Linked DNA regions of Macaca fascicularis. The protein of the gene in region 1 purifies or fractionates together with the protein of each later gene. This does not show direct contact. Links are inferred from orthologs where the notes say so. Each region holds a gene or a part of one and is shown on either strand. Other genes may lie near its edges.

What was found. The genes of interacting proteins can lie anywhere in the genome.
Region 2: the proteins of RALBP1 (region 1) and AAK1 purify together in Homo sapiens (affinity purification with mass spectrometry; 3 studies listed by BioGRID and IntAct, counting the BioPlex papers as one, with this or other methods). This does not show direct contact. The link is inferred for Macaca fascicularis from reciprocal best matches to the Homo sapiens genes RALBP1 and AAK1.
Region 3: the proteins of RALBP1 (region 1) and REPS2 purify together in Homo sapiens (affinity purification with mass spectrometry; 3 studies listed by BioGRID and IntAct, counting the BioPlex papers as one, with this or other methods). This does not show direct contact. The link is inferred for Macaca fascicularis from reciprocal best matches to the Homo sapiens genes RALBP1 and REPS2.

The regions. Positions count from the first base shown.
Region 1 is NC_088392.1:77,826,180-77,833,297, forward strand, and holds the start of RALBP1 (ralA-binding protein 1), read left to right. Parts: upstream 1-2,916; 5' UTR 2,917-3,047; intron 3,048-3,385; exon of another isoform or gene 3,386-3,561; intron 3,562-4,825; exon of another isoform or gene 4,826-5,415; intron 5,416-7,118. UniProt on the Homo sapiens protein: Multifunctional protein that functions as a downstream effector of RALA and RALB. As a GTPase-activating protein/GAP can inactivate CDC42 and RAC1 by stimulating their GTPase activity.
Region 2 is NC_088387.1:52,310,752-52,318,139, reverse strand, and holds the start of AAK1 (AP2-associated protein kinase 1), read right to left. Parts: upstream 4,689-7,388; 5' UTR 4,524-4,688; intron 4,224-4,523; 5' UTR 3,992-4,223; coding exon 3,829-3,991; intron 1-3,828.
Region 3 is NC_088395.1:16,754,966-16,762,110, reverse strand, and holds the start of REPS2 (ralBP1-associated Eps domain-containing protein 2), read right to left. Parts: upstream 4,689-7,145; 5' UTR 4,575-4,688; coding exon 4,326-4,574; intron 1-4,325. UniProt on the Homo sapiens protein: Involved in ligand-dependent receptor mediated endocytosis of the EGF and insulin receptors as part of the Ral signaling pathway. By controlling growth factor receptors endocytosis may regulate cell survival.

The DNA of each region.
Region 1 (7,118 bases):
AAGCTCCGCCTCCCGGGTTCACGCCATTCTCCTGCCTCAGCCTCCCAAGTAGCTGGGACTACAGGCGCCCGCCACTTCGCCCGGCTAGTTTTTTGTATTTTTTAGTAGAGATGGGGTTTCACCGTGTTAGCCAGGATGGTCTCGATCTCCTGACCTCGTGATCCACCCGTCTCGGCCTCCCAAAGTGCTGGGATTACAGGCTTGAGCCACCGCTGAAAAGCAGATATTTTATATATTGCAGCAATTCTAGATGTTTGATTTTTCTTAGTTTTATTTTATTTTTTTTTAATTTATCTTCCTAGATTTACACAGATTTAAAATCTGTCTCTATATGGCCTGTGGCTGCTGGTATCTTTGCTCTGTTTTTAAATTCACATTTTTATTTTTACCCTGACTTTCTGGGCTTTGTCCCTGTGTTTGCATAGCTGTGGAGAGTCAATGATTTGGCAGTGGTTGCACTCAAACACCTTGATTTGGGAGTCTTCTTCCCTCTGCTAATGGATCTGTGTGTGGATTAGGGAATACATTCACAGTTGCCACCAGTTCTCAAGTCTCCTTTTGCTTTTACTTTTCAACAGGTCTCTTGGGTCAACCCTAGGCAGATGCATAGTTTCCCAATCAGTCAGAGATGTGTGGAGATGTAATTAACAAATAGAGTAGTTCTGTGGGGAAGTAGACTCTATAAAAAAGAATGTTATTTCCAGAGTTAAAAAGTACAGGCTGGAGTGCAGTGGTGTAACCATAATTCTTCAATGACTCTTATTTCTAAAATCTCCCTGTTAGATTTTTGAGTGGCTTGCCATTTGCCCCACCTGGGACTGTAACCTCAGGTAAGCACAGCTGTGGGTTTGCCCTGTTCATTTCCATATGAGTTTGTCACTTTTAGTTGGCAAAGCCTTGGGTTTTTGACCACCCACCACAAATTAAGTCCATCCCTTGGGCAACAAAGCTGCTAGTTTTCTTGGCTGTTCCTACCCACACTGGCAAAACTGCAGTTCTGGTGCAACAGGGTGGGAGAGAAGCAGCCTCAGGTCAGAAGGCCACAGATATCCACTGTTCCTGCTAGAAGTTCTAGCTGTTTTTGAAGCACAGATGTTTCTCAAATTGTTTTCTGTATTTGTTTGATATCCAGTGCTCTGAAATGGTTGTTTTTGCCAATTTATCCAGTTTTATACTGGTTTTGTGTGCAGAGAATTGCTGACTATGCCACACAGCCATAGCTGAAAGTCCCTTGCAAAGTTTTTTTACGTAGGAACCTGTATTAGTTAGGACCTTTCAGTGTCATATAAAAGAAATCCAACTGATTTAGTTAGGACTTTTAGAATTTTAATATGAACTGGCTTAAACAATACAGGAAATTTGTGGTTCACAATTCTGGATAGTCTGTAAGATGGCCTTGCTCACAATCCCGAATAGTCTATAGGATAGTCCATATAATCAAACAGGTGAGGTTTGACACTGCAGCTCAAACCATGCCACCAAACACAAGGTTCTTCTCCATCTTTCCCGCGTTCATTTGACAGTACTGACTTCAACCCTAGGCTCTACATGTTGCCTTCCCTCTAAACTCTCATCCTTCTAGGGTTTCCCCTTATAGGAGGAAAACGGTTGCCACATTTCCAGGCGTCATATACTTACACCATGCTAGAGAAGCAAGGAAGCTACCGTTTACTGGAAGTTCCAGCCCAAGTCTTTGTGGGTTCATTGTTTCTGACTGGGCTTGTGACCATCTCTGCTGCTAGAGGGAATGGTTACGTTGCCTGGCTTAAATGGGAGGAATAAATGCTCAGGTGGCAGCCAACAAATATATTCTATATCCACACACATTGGTTCCAAATAATAAATCAATCAATCAGTGGGCCCACTTACTTAGGCTCACGTGCTCACAGCACTTAAAAAGCTGCACAAACCATGCCTCCAAATGAAACCACGGTCTACATTCTGCCAGCTCTTTCTCCCTTTCCATTTCCCCTTTCTTCTCTTTCCCACCCTCACGTTTGGCTAGGCCACTCGGTTGCAAGAAACACGTCCATCAGCAATTGCCTCAGTAGAAAACTCCCTCTGCCCCCCTCTTGCGTCCATATAGCAATTTCAGGCAAGGCCTCCATAAGGCCCAGCGTGGATCAATGCCTGTCCCTTGGCCGAATCAGTGCTGTCACAGGCAAAGAATTGTCACTGCCATGCTCACCTGCCCAACCCACTGGTCAGAGAAGACTGTTGTATTGCGAAACGGGCCATGAGAAGGCTTTTCCGAAAGTCAAAGACCAATGGCTATGTGAGACCATGCCGTATCCACTTGTGGGAGGCCCCTAAATGAATGTAAGGCCCCAGGGGTTGAACTTTACTGGGTAGGAAGCGCAGAGTACTAGAGACAGATTTACCGCCCGCTTTGAGGAAAGCTGATGTGGGAGCAGAGAGCAAGATGGACAGCAGCTGCCAATCTAAATAGGCAACGAGGAGCCACAGAGAGTGCTGCACGTAGGAATGCCAGGGACAGGGAAGGGTCGTCTATTCCAAGTCCCACCTCTCCCCTCATAAACTGCCACATTTCAGAAAACACGAAGACTGCTGAAGCCCTGTTTCCAGCCTTCGCTATGCATTAGCAGAGCAACTCAACAAGCCTGGGTGAAAGGCTTCTCGAAGAAATTCAGTTATCTCTACTGCCAGCCAAACACGGGCTGGGCTGCTCGGTAACTGCTGAGCCGGGGGCGCGCTGGAGCCCCGCAGAAGCCCACACCCGCTTCAGGAATTCCGTGGATGTTCCCGACAGAGGTTTATTCCCGCCTCTCCCTACAGGCCTACGGCGCTCCTTCCTCCAACCCCACACCCAGTCGAAGGCGGGGCAGCAGCCCCACCCAGGGGCAGGCCGGGCGGCCCCCAGGCCGGTTTAACTGGTTGGAACGACGAAAGCACGCTGGCGCAAGGAAAGTTCTCAACTTCGGGAGCTGAGGCGCAGGCTGGCCAGAGCGTGGAGAGGGAAGCTCTCTCCATCCTCTGGGCCGTTGCAGGACATGCCCACGAGACACCTTTGCCAGCACCACACCGGGGTAAGTGTCCGTCCCCGCATCCCGCAAGGCCAGCGACTGCGCAGGCGCCTGCAGAGCACTGGCGCTCGGCGCGTTCTCTCGCCGCCTTCTTTAGTCTCCTCAGCGAGCCTGGGGACGAAGGAGGCGCGGTGCCTCCTGGGTGTTGTAGTTTGCTTCCTTGGCAAAAGGCCTTCTGGCTAGTTGGATGCCGGGGCCTCGGGAACTACGCCTCCCAGCGCGACCCGCGCGAGAGCACAGGGCGCCTGCCCTTGACGGCTTCAGCCGTCTGAGCGGAGAGGAGGATCCGGGAAGCCGGCTGCGGCGGGAGGAGGGAATGCGCGTGCGCGCTAGACCGGCTCGTCCTGTTCCGTCCCAATCATTGTAAACAGGCGGAGGCTGGGCGGGGTGGGAATGGGGCGCCCGAGGCCGGCCTGGGGCGCAGCGCAGGAGGCGGCTCCGGTGGCTGCGGCGGCAGAGTGAGCGCGAGGAGGCGGAGGCTGCGGCGGGGCGGGCGGTCGCGCGGCGGCAGGCACAGGTCAGTCCCAGGGAGCGGTCGCGTGCGAGGGTCGCGGCGATGCCCCTGGAGTGCCCGAGGAGCCCTCTCCCGCGCCGGCCTCGCGCCTGCGTCTGTCAGGCAGCGTGTGGGGCTCGGTGCTCGCAGCCCTCGGGTTTGAAGTTGGGGGCGGGGGGCGTGGCTGCCCCCTCGTCGGTTTCTCCCGGGAAACCTTCGCCCCAGTTTTCACCCCCCTGGCCGTGCGTCCCTCCCACTGGCCGACGGGCCTCCCTTCGTGGCGTCCGCGTTTGTGGTGCTCTCGGGGGCCAGGCGTGGAGAGTTAGGAGTCCCCAGGCCTCGGGGAAGCTCTTGGGGGGCGCCTGGACAGAGGTGAGGGGATCCAGCCCTCACGGTTGGATCGTGCCCGGCATAGTGGCCAGGCTCCGGGGCTTACCCAGGGGACCAGGACAGGCTCCTGGTGTCGCCCGCCGCTGGCACTGAGCAGTGGGCGCCTTTGGTGCTGCGGTCCTTCCTTCAGGTTTCCGTGGGAATGGACGGACAGATCTGGATGGAGTTGAGATTTCTTTTCACAACTCATGTTCAACTATGTGTGTTGCCAAAATGCTCTTAAATGAAGTCAGTTTTCTCCCTCTTTTTAAAAACCTGATCGTTGTGAGAGTGAAACAGGTTTTACGGAATATTTCACACCTGCGTCTTCCCTGAAGTAATTCTGCTGCTTCAACTTTTGGGATTCAGTATTACAAAGCCTTCCTCTTGAGCAAGGCCTAGTACAGTTCTTCAAGGTCCCTAGCATGTTAGTTCGAGGTGTTTTGAACGTGCATGTACAGGAAGTGCAGCCGTTTGGCCGTTGAGTTAGTGCACCATCCAGCCTTGTTAGAAAAGCTTTCGCTGAATTTTTTATTTAGTGGAGTGGTCGTGTCCTAAGGCTGCAGTACTTTGGGGAGTATTGCATCATACTTGGCAGTTATTCACGAAATACTGAATATGTGATAAGGTTTGTTTTGGTGCTCGGCACTTCTAAATGAATAAGTGGGACTGTGAGTAAGAAAGATCACCTCACTTTCTGTTTTTAGAGTTATTTTGGTGATTTGATAACTCCTTTCTGTCTTTGTGAAGGTAATTACTGTTAAGCTGGAGTGGCAGTAGTAGGGGTAGGAAGGTCAGTAGAGTGGTTCCCACTTCTCATTCAAAGTATCTGGTGGATCCAAGTGGAGTAGATTAGTTAACAGTAGCATTGTTTTTTATTTCTTATTTTTTGAGACGGAGTTTCGCTCTTGTTACCCAGGTTGGAGTGCAATGGCATGATCTCAGCTCATCACAACCTCCGCCTCCCAGGTTCAAACGATTCTGCAGCCTCAGCCTCCCGAGGGGATTACAGGCATGCACCATCACGCCTGGCTAATTTTATATTTTTAGTAGAGACAGATTTTCTCCATGTTGGTCAGGCTGGTCTTGAACTCCCGACCTCAGGTGATCTGCCCGCCTAGGCCTCCCAAAGCGCTGGGATTACAGGCGTGCGCCACCGCACCCGCCCAACAGTAGCTTTTGAGAAGTAACTCTTTTTTTTTTTTTTTTTTGAGACGGAGTCTCGCTGTGTCTCCCAGGCTGGAGTGCAGTGGCGTGATCTCACTGCAAGCTCCGCCTCCCGGGTTCACGCCATTCTCCCGCCTCAGCCTCCCAAGTAGCTGAGACTACAGGCGCCCACCACCACGCCCGGCTAGTTTTTTGTATTTTTAGTAGAGACGGGGTTTCACCATGTTAGCCAGGATAGTCTCGATCTCCTGACCTCGTGATCCACCCGCCTCGGCCTCCCAAAGTGCTGGGATTACAGGCTTGAGCCACCGCGCCCGGCGGAGAAGTAACTCTTTAAACAAGGTATCTCGAAACAATGTAATACAATGTAATACAACTTAGTTTGCTATCTCTTCAAAATATTGTTTCTTTTTTTTTTTTTTTTTGAGACGGAGTCTCGCTCTGTCACCCAGGCTGGAGTGCGGTGGCCGGATCTCAGCTCACTGCAAGCTCCGCCTCCCGGGTTCACGCCATTCTCCTGCCTCAGCCTCCCGAGTAGCTGGGACTACCGGCGCCCGCCACCTCGCCCGGCTAGTTTTTTTTTTTGTATTTTTTAGTAGAGACGGGGTTTCACCGTGTTAGCCAGGATGGTCTCGATCTCCTGACCTCGTGATCCGCCCGTCTCGGCCTCCCAAAGTGCTGGGATTACAGGCGTGAGCCACCGCGCCCGGCCCCAAAATATTGTTTCTAATTATAGATCTTATTGGGACTATTTCTCCCCTAATTTAGAATAGGAAAGTGTTATCAGAAAGTGCATAATAACCTTAATTTGCACAGTTATATTTGCATAGTTGTTTGCTTGGCAAGAAGAGATCGGGCCCAGAATTAACCCAAAAGAATATTATTTCTGTTTTGAAAGATCCCTGATAGCAACTTATGTTAGTTTATATAAGAGTATACAAGGAAAAATGCGGATTATTTAGAATACAGGAATTACTATGTAGAAAGTACTGCGACCAGGTGAAGAGGACTTAAAGATACACACGGCAATGTTCCTGCCTTCAGGGGAGTTGAACCTTATCTCTTTCTTTCACTGTCGACTAGTACAAGATTGTTTTGATTGAAGAACGTATGCAGGTACAGTGGATGTACAAAGGAGATAGTGGTCAGTTTCTTAAGGAGATAGTGGCCAGTTTCTTAAAGTGAAGAAAAGGAGAGCTGAAGAAGAGGAAAACTGTAAGGAAGAAAAACTATGTAGAAGGTGATGAAAATAAGAAGTGTACAGGCGTAGAAAGAATGGGCATTTAGGTAGGAGCAGTGTGAGAAAAAGCATGGGAGTCTAAAATTACAGAATAGCATCTGCAAAAATAGCAAGTGTAATACAGGGTGGTGGCAAGACCTGAAACTGGGGAGATAGGCAGAGACCAAATTATGGATCTTGCAGACCATCAAAGTCATTACAATTTTATCTTATAAGCAAATAGGAGTCATTGAGAGGACAAAGAAGAGACCTAAGCTAGCTAAGCCCATTTTTAACCCTCTGCTATATAGGTCAGGCACTGCATTAGGTACTGTATATTTTATGTCCTTAAGCTTAAATAAGGCTTAGTCATGACTGATGCAGAAATTGCGGGGCTGGGGCAGGGGTGGGGAAGGAACTTTTAGAGGGAAAGGTGGACAGAAACGTAGGTGAGAAGGAACATGGAACACTTTTTTTCCAATACAAACACCATCACTCGGTTTTATTGGTTTTGTTATATTAACCTCTGAAGTAGGCGATTATTGGTGTGAACATACATTTTAAAAAACATATGGAGTCAAGAGTACAAGAATGTCAACTCAGTGCAAGTACTGTTGGTGAGCATTATGTCCTGAGGATGAAATCGGAGGACCAACAGGCCCAGGAGGCTTCACAACCAACACCGCCCAAAAGGACAGCAGACCAGGCTTCAGAGCGGAACCGCCTTCTCCATGTAAACTTTTGACGTAAACTTTATGCTTCAGGATGGCCTCTTCTGCTCCGAGAGCCTCTCCTTCCGCGTCCCAAGTTTGGGAATGGCCCGGCG
Region 2 (7,388 bases), on another chromosome or scaffold:
ACACACATTTTGAAGCCTTACTAGTTCGCTATGTAGGCGGGAGAAATTATCAAAGTTCATTGATGTGGACATTTGGTACTTCTCATCAGCCTTGGACCTGGATTCCTTGAATATAAATTAGAAAACTGCTCTGAGGAGCCATCTAGTCCACCTTATAGCTCCAGAATGTTGTCTTGAATACAGTAATAAATAAATAAACATTTATTGTTTAAAGCTTAGATATAAGTCCTCGTATAGCTAAGGAAGTATGATAAAAGCACAGCTTCTCAAGCCTTCCTTGAACATTGCTCCAATTTTCCCATTGAGCTCATTCTGGAAGCTTAAACCAAATCTTCCCTTGACATCATATGCCTATTAACTTAGACATGATTTAGCATCTCATCATGGCATCTTCGCTGAGAAAGCTAGAAAGAAAATATTCTCCCTGGCACCCAGCCTAGAAATAGCCATATTCCTCTAAACTCATAACTTAAAGCCTTCACTTCCCCCAAACAGCCCCTGCTGGACTAGTTAGTGAAACCAGGCCAGGAAGGCTGATATACCAGGGGAGATATGGCAGTGCGGCATCTTTTTGTCTTGCCCAGCACCCGCTCCTTGGGGTTCTTGCAATTCCTCACGAAAAAGCACACACCAATACCCGCACTAGAGAAAAAGAGATCATCAGTGGAATGTGGCGGTAATCTGGTCTGTGTTTTGAAGCCTCTCACACCACTCCTCCCTAAACTGCCTGGCCACTGCTCTGGGCACCCAGGGTACAACTCCCATGGTCCTTAAACCACTCTGGCTGGGACTGTAGACAGGTCAGCACTTGGGGACTCACAGGGAAGAGGGCGCAGGGAAGGAGCGTGGCTACCCAAAACATCTGTTAAGCCTTTAAGGAGCTGCTGAGGACTCTGCAAAGAACATCTGGCTCTATCCCCTAACAATGGGGGAAAGGAACTGCTTCAGATTGCTGCAGCTCAACTAGCTTTCACATTGCTCCCACTCCCCTTTAACACACACACACACATACACACACACACTCTCTCTCTCCACATATATACATATGATGTATAATGCTGCTGGTAGGTAATGGCTACCATTTATTGAACACCTGAAAACGTGAATTATATATATTGCCTCATTTAATCTTCATGACCAGCCCATTAGGCAGTGGTTCTCAAAGTTGACCTTGCATCAGAATCTCTCCAGGAACTTATTAAGCCCCACACTCACAGCCTGTGTAGTGAGGCCTGAGAATCTCCATTTCCAACAAGCTTGCAGGTGATAAGGATGCCCCATTTTGAGAACCACTGCCACAGGGAAACAGAGATTCAAGAGTGGTTTGGAATGTCTTGCCTACAGTTCCACAGCTAGTAAAGAACAGATCCAGAATTTGAACCTAGATCTGTCTGACTCTATAGACAGTGCCGGTAACCATGCTACTGTATGTGTGAATGTATGCCTCATCTTCCCAAATTCATTGGCAGAACCTTAAAGGCAGATTCAATCACACTTTAGACCTCCCTTATTCATCTCAGAACTTCATACGGTCTTTGGACTTGGTAGGTGCTACATAAATACTTTGTGTACTGGCTCCTACATTTCTACATACTTCTAAGAACCACAAATTCAAACTCAACTTAAGCCAAAGAACACAAAAAGGGCAGCATAGCCAGACCCAGTTTTACGTGACATTCTCTCTTGCTACTCCGTCTTTGCCCACAGTGCCACCACACTAACTCCTACTCACTCTTCAGTCACTTCCTTCAGAAAATGATCCTGGGCTCCCTAAAACTGGGGGCCACTTCACCCTAAGTTTATCTCTATGATGGTATTTATCAATCCACTATAACTGGCTATTTTCCATCTTTTAAAGCAGTTGGTAAAGGCCAGCTCTGGTTTAACAGCATATCCCAGAACCTAGCACAGCACCTGGCACTTCACAGGCAACTCCATAAACTGCTGAATGAATAAATGCAGAGCTGCAAGTCCTAAATTCCATGTAAAAATATCACAATACATGATGCGCAGTTCTCAAGGATGAATCCCAGAGAAGAGGAAGGCAGCCTAGGTAACAAAGACCAATTTTGCCTTTTCTCTTCCCTATCACTCTTCTCACACTTGGAGAACATGCACCGCTTAGGGCAGCATCATCCTTGATGAGACAACATCCTAGCTGAACAAAATGCTCGTGGGCTATAAGGTCAGCAGAGGCCATTCAGAGGGGAGGAAAGTGCTCTGTGGCCCTTCATTTCTCCTGATTTCTCTCTGACACACTCTCCTTTTCACCATTTCTCCACCCCACTGCAGTTAAGGGCTTTGGCACAGGGATGAAAGAGACAGATCAGACTCAAGGTGCGGATCTGGCAGCGGGCACAGAAGCATCTCCCAACCTGCACCAAAGTCCACAGGAAAGATCCAAAGGGACAGTGACTCAGGCCCCAGATAAAGCCCAGCTAGAGCAGTACTGAGATTGGAAGAGCAATAATTTCACACGGACATTAACTGTCAGACATCTTTTTAAAAAATCGTGTTTTTAAAGTATAGGCTTCAACTCTATTCCCAGAAAACTGGGCCCTGCTGAATCCAGTGCTTACACAAGCTGAGAGCCAAACACAGTTTCCTCCTCTTCCAAACCCACCCACCAGCCTGCAACACCCACCATGGTAAGCATTTCCCAGGCCCAGGTCAGGACCCTTGCTTCAACTTTAGTTTGCAAAACGCCCCTTTTTAAAGAGGCCTCTTAGCTTTCTCTCTTCCCTCGGTAATAAAACTGTTCCCTTCCACCACCATGTTGCAGTAATAGAGACCTCTCCCTTCCTCCAACCCCTCTCGGTCTATAACACAACCTACAGCAGGTCGGCCCCATCCAATTAGTCTGAATTGCTTCATGCCAAGGAAATTGCTGCTTTTATTAAAAATAAAAGCACACTAGGCAGGCGATGGGCTGTGAAAAGTATGAGTCTGGCATAATTATGAAGGTCGAGGTTAAGGTTACCAAAAGAGACATGCAAAGATTTCCCGAAAGCCTGGAGGAAAAAAGATGTATATCTACGTGAGTATAGATACACAGATGAAACACAGAGGAATTTACACAGCAGATCTAAATAACATGCTCTCTGACAGTGAAAAAACAAAATCAGAGCCACTCTCAAGTAATTTTTCTTTTGGTTTAAAAAAAAAAAAAACAACACTAAAGCGAGAGGAAGAGGGGCCTACTAGACTGAGTTCAGAATAACCACATTTGTTTTATATAATTTTTGTTATCTTTGCTATATCCTGGGGACCCGATTACAGTTGGGTCAGGAAACAAACCTACTAGTGAAATCCACCAAGAGCCTTGGCCCTTGGAAAAACACGTTCACATTCTCCGAAAATCCTCCCTTCCTTCCAATGCCTGCTCATGGAAGTAGGAAAGTTGGGTAGGAGACGGAGAAACCCCTCTCTTCTTAAAAGTCCCCCCATCCACACCCTTCAGCCTTCACATCAAGATTTTAAGTTTTAGGAGGATGACAAGCCCATCACCCTGCCTTTGGCATAAAGCTTTACACTTTCACACATACATTTTCTTGTGTGATCCTCAAAATTTGGCTTCTCAATATTAAAAAAATAAAAATAAAAGGCCACTAACGTAAACAATTTCGGCAACCTCCCCACACCCCCATAAGCCCAGTCACTTTCAAATCTCAATTTTAAATCTCTCAAGGACAATGACTCACAGGGCAAGTGGAGGGGGAAGGGAGGGTCAACTGGTCAAAGCCCATTCATACATGCAACAACTAGAAACCACAGTACTGCCGCATCAGCACAAGATTTTAATTTACGGCGCATTGAGCCACACCGTACCTTCCGCCAACACCTCGTCCACTGTGACCTGCTGTCGCCCGATGCCAAAGACTCTTCCGATGTAGCCACTGCCCAGGCCCGAGGTGCTGCCCCCTCCTCCGCTAGAGCCGGAGCCCAGGCCAGAGCCGCCCTGCTCTCGCCGGGAGTCGAAAAACTTCTTCATCTTGCGAATAGGGAGCAGCAAAGCAAAATACCGATGGTTTCTAGATTTTTTTTTTTTTTTTTTTTTTAAGAAAAGAGATCCAAGGATTTCTTCTCGGATTTCAGCTCGGAGAGGAGCCACCCGAATCCGGCCGTGGGGGTGGGGGCTGAGGGAGGATGCCTATAGGAATATGCGTGTCAATCGCGCGGCGGGTCCCCTCCTCCTCCAGAAAGCGATTCGTGTAAGTTTAAACCTGTGATGACAGAGGAAGAGAGAGAGGATGAATCAGTAACACACTTAAAAATTCAACCGCTGAGTCCTAGGTGGAGCAAAAGCCATCATCCTGGGGAAACGCTTCATATATTTTCCTGGCGAGAAAAACCCTGGGGCTGAAAACGCGACCCCGGCCCCAGAACCCGGGATCCCCGAGCCGGGAGCTCGGAAAAAGGAGGGATCCGAGCTGCTGGGGCAGCGCCGACCCTCCCGGGCACTGCCTCCCGCTCCTCCCGGGTCTCCCCGCCGCCCCTCGAGGCAGCATCCTGGCAGCACCCACTTGAGACGGCTCGGCGGCCGGCGCCCAGCTACCAGCCCCGCGACATTGTCACGGCCGCCGGGCCGGCCTGCGACGCAGAGAGGAGGCGGCGCTGCAGCGAGAGCCGGGGCCGCGCTCGGCTCCAGCCCGCCCGCCAGCTGATCCCGGGAGCGCCGGGCGGAGACTGACCCGCCGCCCCTCCCCCGCGCGCGCTCCCGCCCGGCTCCATCCACCCAACCAGGAAGTGAACCGCCGCCGGAAGTGCCGCTTGGGGCGGCGCGGCGAGGGACCGGGGCCTCTCCTGCAACCGCCGCTCTGTCGCCACAGATGGGAAGGAGTAGACGGCGAGAAGAGGACCGGGCGAAGGGGGTCTCAGTGCAGACAGAGTTCTGGAAAAGACTGTTGATATCACCCGAGCCGCAGGGCAAGCTGGGAAAGGTAGCTAGGCGCAGTCCGGCGACTGGACTACAAATCCCAGCATGCTCCTGGAGGAGCGGGCGAGGCGCAGCCGTGGCCTCCACGGCCTGGAAGGAGGTTTGTGGGGTGGCGCGTATATGGGGACTCGGCAATTTAAACACATCCCGTGAAGAAACTGCCAACGACTAGGTTCCCCGCCGCTGTATGTTCCACTCTTCTGGAGCCATCTTATTTGCGGCCTGGCCTCCTGGCACAAGGGATTCTGGATTTTGTGGTTTCCGAACGGATCGAGACTGACATCCGAAGGACGCCAGCTTAACCGCTTAGACCCTAGTGGGTCCTGTGGGTTTCCCGACGTCACCTGGGCTGAAATGGAAGCGAGAAGTGATCGGGAACATTGTGCTGGCAGTTGGATCCGGCTGCACCGGAGCGCCAGCCTTAAAATAAGTAAAACCGATGCCCTTCGCCCCTAACCTCAAAAGCTGCTTTTGCGTCTAGAGGTTATTGAGAGCCGGCTCTGCGGTCAGCTCTGAGCTAGGCGCTGTGAGAACGCTCAGTAAGACAGTGTCTCGTCTGAAAGTGTACAGGCGAGATTCAAACCGAGAAACGGCCAAAGGTTGTGTGCAAGGCAGATCCTAGGATACCAGAGGCCCAGCCCGTTGGCTTGACCTCAAACTCGGGGGCTTTTCAGCCCATGCTGCCCCTTAATTTTTCCTCCTTTGCTGACGCTGTGGGTGCGTCCCAAAGCCTGACCTTCACTAGCCCCCTTGCACACAAGAACACTAACCCTAACCTGACCAGTTATTTATTTCTCACTTCAAGATTCTTCCACTGATACTTATGTTTCCCTGATACCGTCCAAGTGCTGAGGGTGGGGATGGACTCTGTGATTTGCATCTGCCAAATGCAGAAAATTTGGAAAGCCAGTTGGTACACTTTTCCGACCCTAGATTTCCTGATGGATGATGCTGAAGAGTGGCAAGTTCCTGCCAAAAACAAACAAAAAAACCTGCCATGATTTACTGATATGATTTTTCTAACCCCTGAATATGGGTTATTGTTCATTTCCGCCCGCTCTTCCCACTCCCTAGTGCTTGTCTCAGAATTTTTTTCAGCGGTATTTGAGTAGAGAAGGGTGCCCCAGGGAAAAAAATGGTTCTTGCTTTCTCCATTCTGAATACGGAGCTGAGCTCTGACTGGGCTAACAGTGGCGTTTGGTGCTGCTGCTGCTGCTGCTGCTGCTGCTCCTTGTTTAAAGTAGTGCCATTGTAATTAAACTCCGTGTAGAGATAGCATCTTTTCTTCTGGAGAGAGTCTGTGTTGTCACCCCAGTTCACAAATTCACGAAGCCACCTCCAGGGTGAAATGCAGCACCTATTCCCTCAAACTAAGCCCACGAAGGCATGTTCTCTGCACTTTCCTTAAAAGGCCAGATTTTTGTCTAAGGAAGTTTGAAACAGACCTTAAAATAGATGAGAAAGCTCTTTTTGAATTAGACTCATTGACCCCCATTTTTCTCAGCACTTATTTGTCTTGACTTTTTTTAAAAGAAGCTCTGCTAGGTCCTAAAATCAATCTGATGCTCAGTTTTTACCTTTCTAGACTTTCTTGTTACCAGACTAGTCCAGGCTTACACAAATCTCAAGTCTTACTTCAGTGATACAAAAACTCCCAACACGCTTAAGGTAGCTAACATGCATTTATTGAACACCCACATGAATGCTTTGATCAGAAGCTGAGGGAAGAGGTTTAAAAAACAAAAATCAGATGACTAGATTGCTTGTCCTCCATTCCCTCACAGACAAATAGCAATTATAATAACAAATCCACAGTTTTTCTTGCTTTACATATATTAAGTATATAATGCTCAAAGGCACCCTATGAAGTAAAGTACTACTATTATACTCATTTTATAGGTGGGTAAGTAAAGCAAAGAGATTAGTGACTTACCCAAAGTCACACAGTAAATAGCAAAGCCAGGATTCAAACCCAAACATTTTAGCTTCAGAGCCCAGTTCTTACCTAGCTATACTAAACTGTCTACTTAGAGCAAACATTAACTGATTAAAAGACTAGTGAATAGTTAGGAACCTATGCACAAGCAGCATAGGACCAGGAGACAGGAAACCTCTGCCATGTCATAGCTGGGACCTTAGACCACTTGTGTCACTGGGCTTATTATCTCAGTTATAAAACCAGAGCTCTTACAACTCTTAGTAATTTTTTAGTTCCTGAGTACAAAATAATGAACAGATCAACCACTATAATCTCAAAACTATCACACTTTCTGTAGAATTTGTCCCACCCTGCTTTGCATTCCTATTCAACTTTTAATGTATATTGCTGCCTCAACCAAACACCTCAAAGCCAGAGAACCGTCTTCCACTTATCTCCTTGGGCATCCAGTATAATAGTTTACATAGAGTGTGTTCTTAGCAGTACTTAAATAAAGTAAATAATTTACTTTAA
Region 3 (7,145 bases), on another chromosome or scaffold:
AGGTTATGAAGTATTTTGTTGGTATTCAAAGGCCAGCATTTCACTAGAAGGCATAGTGCGTGGTGAGAATCAGGTCGCGGTTTGACAACGTATTTGGTTTGGGTTTGACAGGCTTATTTTACTTTATTTTGATACAGGGTTTTGCTCTGTTGCCTAGGCTGGAGAGCAATGGTGCGATCATAGCTCCCTATAACCTTGAACTCCCAGGCTCAAGCAATTCTCCTGCCTCAGCCTCCAGAGTAGCTAGGACTACCAGCGCATGCTACCGTGCCCGGCTATTTTATTTTGTGTAGAGACAGGGTCTCACTATGTTACCCAGGCTGATCTCAAAGTCCTGGCCTCAAGCAATCCTCCCATCCTTGGCCTCCCAAAGCACCGGGACTACAGGCGTGTGCCACGGCACCAGGCTGACATTTTATTTTTGGATATTATATTTCAAGTCTTTTCTCAACCAAATAAAAACTCTGAAGTGTAAAAACATTTGCATGGGAACATAAGCTCCATGAAGACAGAGATTATGTTGGATTCACTATTATAACCTCAGCACCTAGGATAGTACCTGACACACATCAGAAACTCATATGTTTTCCACCTAATGCTGGAATCCTGCTGTTAAAATAAGTCAGCAAAGGAAAATAAATACTCTGTAAAGAGACCAATTCATTGCTGATGGGAATGCAAAATGGTACAACCACTTTGGAAGGCAGTCTGGCAGTTTCTTATAAAACTAAATATACTCTTACCACACAATCTAGCAATCATGCCCCCTTGCTATTTACCCAAATGAGTCAAAAGCTTATATCTTGCATGTAACAAAAAAGCCTACATACAGATGTTTATAACAGGTCTATCCATAATTGCCCAGACTTGGAAGCAACCAAGATATCCTTCAGTAGGTGAAACTGTAGTACATCCAGACAATGGAATATTATTCAGCACTATAAAGAAATGAGCCACCAAACCATAAAAAGACATGGAGGAATCTTAAGTGCATATTACTACATGAAAGAAGCCAATGTGAAAAGTCTACATACTGTATGACTCCAACTATATGACATTCTTAAAAAAGCAAAACTGGCCGGGCGCGGTGGCTCAAGCCTGTAATCCCAGCACTTTGGGAGGCCGAGACGGGCGGATCACGAGGTCACAAGATCAAGACCATCCTGGCTAACACGGTGAAACCCCGTCTCTACTAAAAAAAAATACAAAAAACTAGCCGGGCGAGGTGGCGGGCGCCTGTAGTCCCAGCTACTCGGGAGGCTGAGGCAGGAGAATGGCGTGAACCCAGGAGGCGGAGCTTGCAGTGAGCTGAGATCCGCCACTGCACTCCAGCCTGGGCGACAGAGCAAGACTCTGTCTCAAAAAAAAAAAAAAAAAAAAGGCAAAACTATGGAGACAGTTAAAAAAAAAATCAGTGATTGCCACATGTTAGTGGAGAGGGAGGGATGAATCGATAGAGCACAGATTTTTAGAGCAGTGAAACTATTCTGTATGATACTACAATGGTAGATCCATGTCATTATACATTTGTCCAAACCCACAGAATGTACAACACCAAGAGTGAGCCCTAATATATAGACTTTGGGGAATAATGATGTGTCAATGTAGGTTCACTGATTGTAAAAACTCTATTATTCTGGTGCCGGATGTTGAGAGTGGGGAAAGCTACTGGTGTGTCAGGGCAGGGGATATATGGGTACTCTGCTAAATTTTGCTGTGAACCTAAAACTGCTCTGAAAAAAAAAAATAGCCTATTAAAAAATATGTTAAGGCCGGACACGATGGCTCACGCCTGTAATCACAGTACTTTGGGAGGTCAAGGTGGATGGATCACCTGAAGTCAGGAGTTCGAGACTAGCCTGGCCAACACGGCAAACGGCTGTCTCTACCAAAAATGTAAAAATTAGCCAGGCGTGGTGGCATGCGCCTGTAGTCCCAGCTACTCGGGAGGCTGAGGCAGAAGAATCGCTTGAACCGGGGAGGCGGAGGTTGCAGTGAGCTGAGATCACATCACCGCACTCCAGCCTGGGCAAAAGAATGAGACTCCATCTCAAAAAATAAATAAATAATAAATAAATATTTTTATAGACCATTTACTTGTGGTAAGACTGCAAGATTCTCATTCTTCCTGGAACATTATTATGGTAATCTTAATTGTACGCTTATTAAGAGGAAAACCTGGTTGTTACCATAGAAAATACCAGGGCTGGTTAGTGCCTCCAAGATTTGAGCAGTTATACCTGTCGGGGCACTTAAATCTCAACTTACAGGTTCCTGTTTAACAGGGAAAGGATAAAAACATCTATGTTTGTTTTAAAGAATGGCTAATACACCGATGGGGTAATACAAATTAAAGTGGATGGAGCATACACACACCACCACCACCACCAAAGTGATGGGTGAAAATTAGGGGTCTGCTGGTTGCTGACTTTGTTTGACTCTCTTAGGATTACATGTCCGGGATGCCTTCAGTGTTCATTTTCACCTGTACCAAGAATAATGAGTTATGGTAATTTTGTTGGATTGAAGGGGGATGATGTGTTTTGCTTTGCTAGGCTGAATAAGGGAGCTTCAAGCTCTGAGAGATTTACTCCAAGCAATACTGTAGGGATGTCCCCTTTGGCCAGTATCTGAAGCAGTCTTTTGCAAGCAGATTTCAACTGGACATCAAAAATATAATCTCATTCACGCACAGGCACTGTGCCTTGGGTCCTTTTAAAACCATATGTACCTCAAGAAAGCATGGGTTCTAACATCAGGAAATCCTTCTTCCCAGTTCCTAAGGAGGCATCGACCAACATATTCAGATTTACTATGCCCACCTCCTCTTATCCGATGCATTACTGACAACAAAATAAGCCTTAATAGGTACCCAGCTGTCACTTACTTGCTGCATAGCCTCAGTCAATTATTCCTCTTTCAGCTGGGAAGCAGTTACAGCATTGAATAAATGTGTTATGCTCGGGAGTATTCTGAGGGCCTCAAGTAATAGTCATGGTTTGTGTTTTAAGACACTGATTTTCTCTTTACCTGATCCAGCTCAACTACTCGTCAGCAATGGCAGAACTGTCTGTATATCAAGGACTTTTTTAGGGACAAACAGCCATGCTAAGTTCTGTGAATACTAATTATATTTTCAGAAATCCCAAATTCAAAAGGGTGAAAGATTACAAAGTGTTTAAAGTTACGCTCACAAACACAGGGCAGTACAAACACTCTAGCAATATAAAACGCAGTCTTAAGTAATTTCTTTAAAAATACGTATGAACACAATGACATTGCAAGTGAACCATAAAACCCTCAGTTCTCCTTTGAAACTAGATTTTAAAATACCACTCACCACTCTAAATATTCCATTGGTGTTAATAACATTCATACTATTGCTTTTAAGGAAAGCTTCATTTGACGTTTTGAACCTGATATTAACAATCTTATCACCATGAAGTGCTGGTGACATGAAATGACAGACAAAGGCTTATCAATTAGTCTTTCTCCAAGCTCCAAGGAAAGCACAAAACAAACACAGCGTCTGGTATGTATCATCCCCTAGTCCTTTTCCAAGTATAGAACAGTCAAAAGGTGGTAGCTATGACACCCCTTACCTTTCAATTCTATTTCAAGTCCAAGTAATGATAGATGGGAAACTACAGCTGTTTCCCATGGTGGACTTCTGAAGTCCACCTCTAGCCTCAAATGGGAAATTTGGTTTTGACTTGACAAACGTCCTCTTGCAGTCCCGTGTCCCTGTTCTGCAACTTGTCATTAAGGTTTTTGATTTAATATTAATATTTAGAAATATGTTATGGGCAATTACATATTGTAGATACGTATATATCACAACTACATACAGAGGACAACATTCAGCCCTGGGCCTCCAACCCTACAGACACACACACCCCTCAGGTTCAAATCCCAGCAAGGCACCCTGACAGCCCACTCAGGAGAGGGAGGGGCAGGAGCAGCGAGCAGAGGTTAAACCAGGCAGCAGCCAAAACAAACACCACTTCCAGAACAGGGCAAACTTTGGGTCTGGGCGGCTGCAGAACCCCAGAAATGGCCGGGGGAGGGGAGGGAATGTCAGACAGTCTCAGGGAAGGAAGATGGGGAGCGCGCACCCAGCACTGACTGGGCGAGGAGCTGAGCTGCGGAGGAGGCTGGTGTCCCCCGGGTACAAGGGCGTCGCCGCTATCCCCGGCTGCAGAGTTCTCTGACAACTGGCCGAGGCCTCCGGGTCCCTGGGGGCAGCCCTGTCGCCCCACTCGCAACCTCCGCCCCCGCAGACACTGCCCCACAGACCCGCAGGGACAAGAGGCGGAGGGACCCACCTGGTGCAGCGTCTCGGCTGGCAGCTGCGACGCCCGAAACAGGTCAGCCACTGGGCCGGCGGCTGCAGTGGCCGTGCCGGGGGCGACTCTGGCGGCCTCGGGAGGCCCAGACCCGGGGCCCCCGCCCGCGGCGCCGGCACAGCGCGCGAAGAGCTCGGAGTAGCACTGCTGCTCGCCCTCGCTCAGCAGCAGCGGTGGCGGCCCGGAGCCACAGCCCCCACCCGCCGCCGCCGCCGCTGCCGCCTCCATGGGACCAGCAAGGGGGCGCGGCGGAGCCCTGTCCCTAGCTGGGGTGCCGCTGCGTCCGCCACAGCCACCGGCTCCTCGGCCTCAGCCGACGCCGCCGCCACCCCCACGCCCCGCAGCTGCCGCGCGGCCGCTTCCTCCCGGCGCGCGCCGGCCCCGCCCCCGGGCTTGAATGTTGTGCCTCAGCTGCGCGGCACATGGAGACAGGCGCGGAGCGGCCCAATCACAGCCTGATATCTCACCGCGGCCCCGCCCCCGCCTCCCGCCTGCCCCGCCCAGCGCCAGGTAACTAACCCAGCGCGCTGCCTGCCCTCCGCGCGTCACCTGCTCCGCTGCCCAGGAAGGCGAGCCCCGTGCCTTTCCAAGCCTACCCTGCAAGGGAGCGGAGTCTTTGGCCATCCGCCCTGGTTGGGAAGGGCGCATCTAGACCCAACTGGAGAAAAGCTCTTTTCGGGGAGCGGGGAAGGTCGTGGTGTTTTTTCGCCAGAAGGCTGGGGCAAGTGTGGTGCCCACACCACGCCATGCCCTTTCCAGAAAACGGACAAGGCATGGGAAATTAGGTTTCCTTTCTTCCATAGCAGTAGTGCTTATGTCCTAAACAGCTGGAAGACACAGACGTCTGTACAAACAGGGTCCCACTGACGCCAAACTGTTCAGTGGGTATTGGAGTTAGGCCACCTCTTCAGACATGGCTCAAACCAGGAGTTGAGACTTCATAAGGAATAACATCGGTTACTCGTAAATACTAGAGTAGTAAAAGACCCATTTTGCAGATCATTTTGTCCAAATCCTGCTTTTACATATGAGGAAACTGCCATGTTCACCTTCATTCCTTCAAAACTAGTTGAATATCTCGTATGTAGCAGATTTATATGCTAGGGCCTGAAAATACAAACCTCAGTAACAGAGGATCCTCACTCTCCACAGGAAGCACTTATTTTGGTAGTAAAACAGGAATTTTTTTTTAAGTACAAAACTTTTTCAAGCTCACGCCAAAAATCAATGCGAGAACCCACATCTTTCCATCCCTGTCCATGTCCTCCTCTCTCTCCATTCCTCCCTATCCTAAAGCATACACACTGTATTTTTCAAATGTGCTTGCTTCCCCCTGGCTAGTACTCTAGCCTTTTTTTTTTTTTTTTTTGAGATGGAGTTTCAGTCTTGTTGCCCAGGCTATAGTTCAATGGCACAGTCTTGGCTCACTGCAACCTCCACCTCCCGGGTTCAAGCAATTATTCTGTCTCAGCCTCCCGAGTAGCTGGAATTACAGGTGCCTGCCACCATGACTGGCTAGTTTTTGTATTTTTAGTAGAGACGGGGTTTCACCATGTTTGTTAGGCTGGTCTCGAACTCCTGACCTCAGGTGATCCACACACCCCCCACCTCGGCCTCCCAAAGTGCTGGGATTACAGGCTTGAGCCACTTGAGCCCTCTAGCCACTTTTAAAAGAAAGTCCAGGCCGGGTGCGGTGGCTCATGCCCGTAATCCCAGCACTTTGGAAGGCCAAGGCAGGCAGATCACCTGAGTCCAGGAGTTCGAGATCAGCCTGGCCAACATGGTGGAATCTCACCTCTACTAAAAATACAAAAACTAGCTGGGCCATGGTGGTGAGTGCCTGCAATCCCAGCTACTTGGGAGGCTGAGGCAGGAGAATCACTTGAACCTGAGAGATGGAGGTTGCAGTGAGCCAAGATCACACCACTGCACTCCAGCCTGGGCAACAGAGCGAGACTCTGTCTAAAGAGAGAGAGAGAGAGAGACCAGAAAAGAAGCCACTGGAAAAAAAAAAAAGTCTGTCCCACCATTGCACTGGAAGTTCCAGCATCAGGTCCACATATCTGCATCTCTTTTCCAAAAATTATCTTTTTAAATGTCATTTTTCCTGGGAAGACCTGCAGAAATATATGCATGAAGCCTCACTGGGAAACACTAACCCAAAAGAAAACATCAGTCTAGGGTTAAGCACTAATAAAAAATATATTTTACTACAAAGAAAGCTACAAAACATTGATTTAAAAAATTGAAGAGGACATAAAAACATGGAAAGGCATCCCATGCTCATGGATTGGAATAATTAATATTATTAAAATAACCATACTACCCAAAGAAATCTATATATTCACTGTGATCACTATCAAAATACCAGTGACATTCTTCACAAAAATAGAAAAAAAAATCCTAAAAATTGTATAAAACCACAAAAGAACCTGAATAGCCAAAGCAATCCTGAGCAAAAAGAACAAAGCTGGAGGCATCACACTACCTGACTTCAAAATATACTACAAAGCTATGGTAACCAAAACAGCATGGTACTGACATAAAAAGAGATACATAAACCAATAGAACAGACTGGAGAACCCAGAAATAAACCCACACATTTACAGCCAACTGACCTCCAACAAACCACCAAGAAAATACATTGGGAAAGGACAGTCTTTACAATAAATGGTGCTGGGAAAACCAGCTATCCATAAGCAGAAGAATAAAACAAGACCTTTCTCTCTCTCTCTCAGCATATACAAAAATCAACTGAAGATGTATTAAAAACTTAATTATAAGACCTAAAACTGTAAA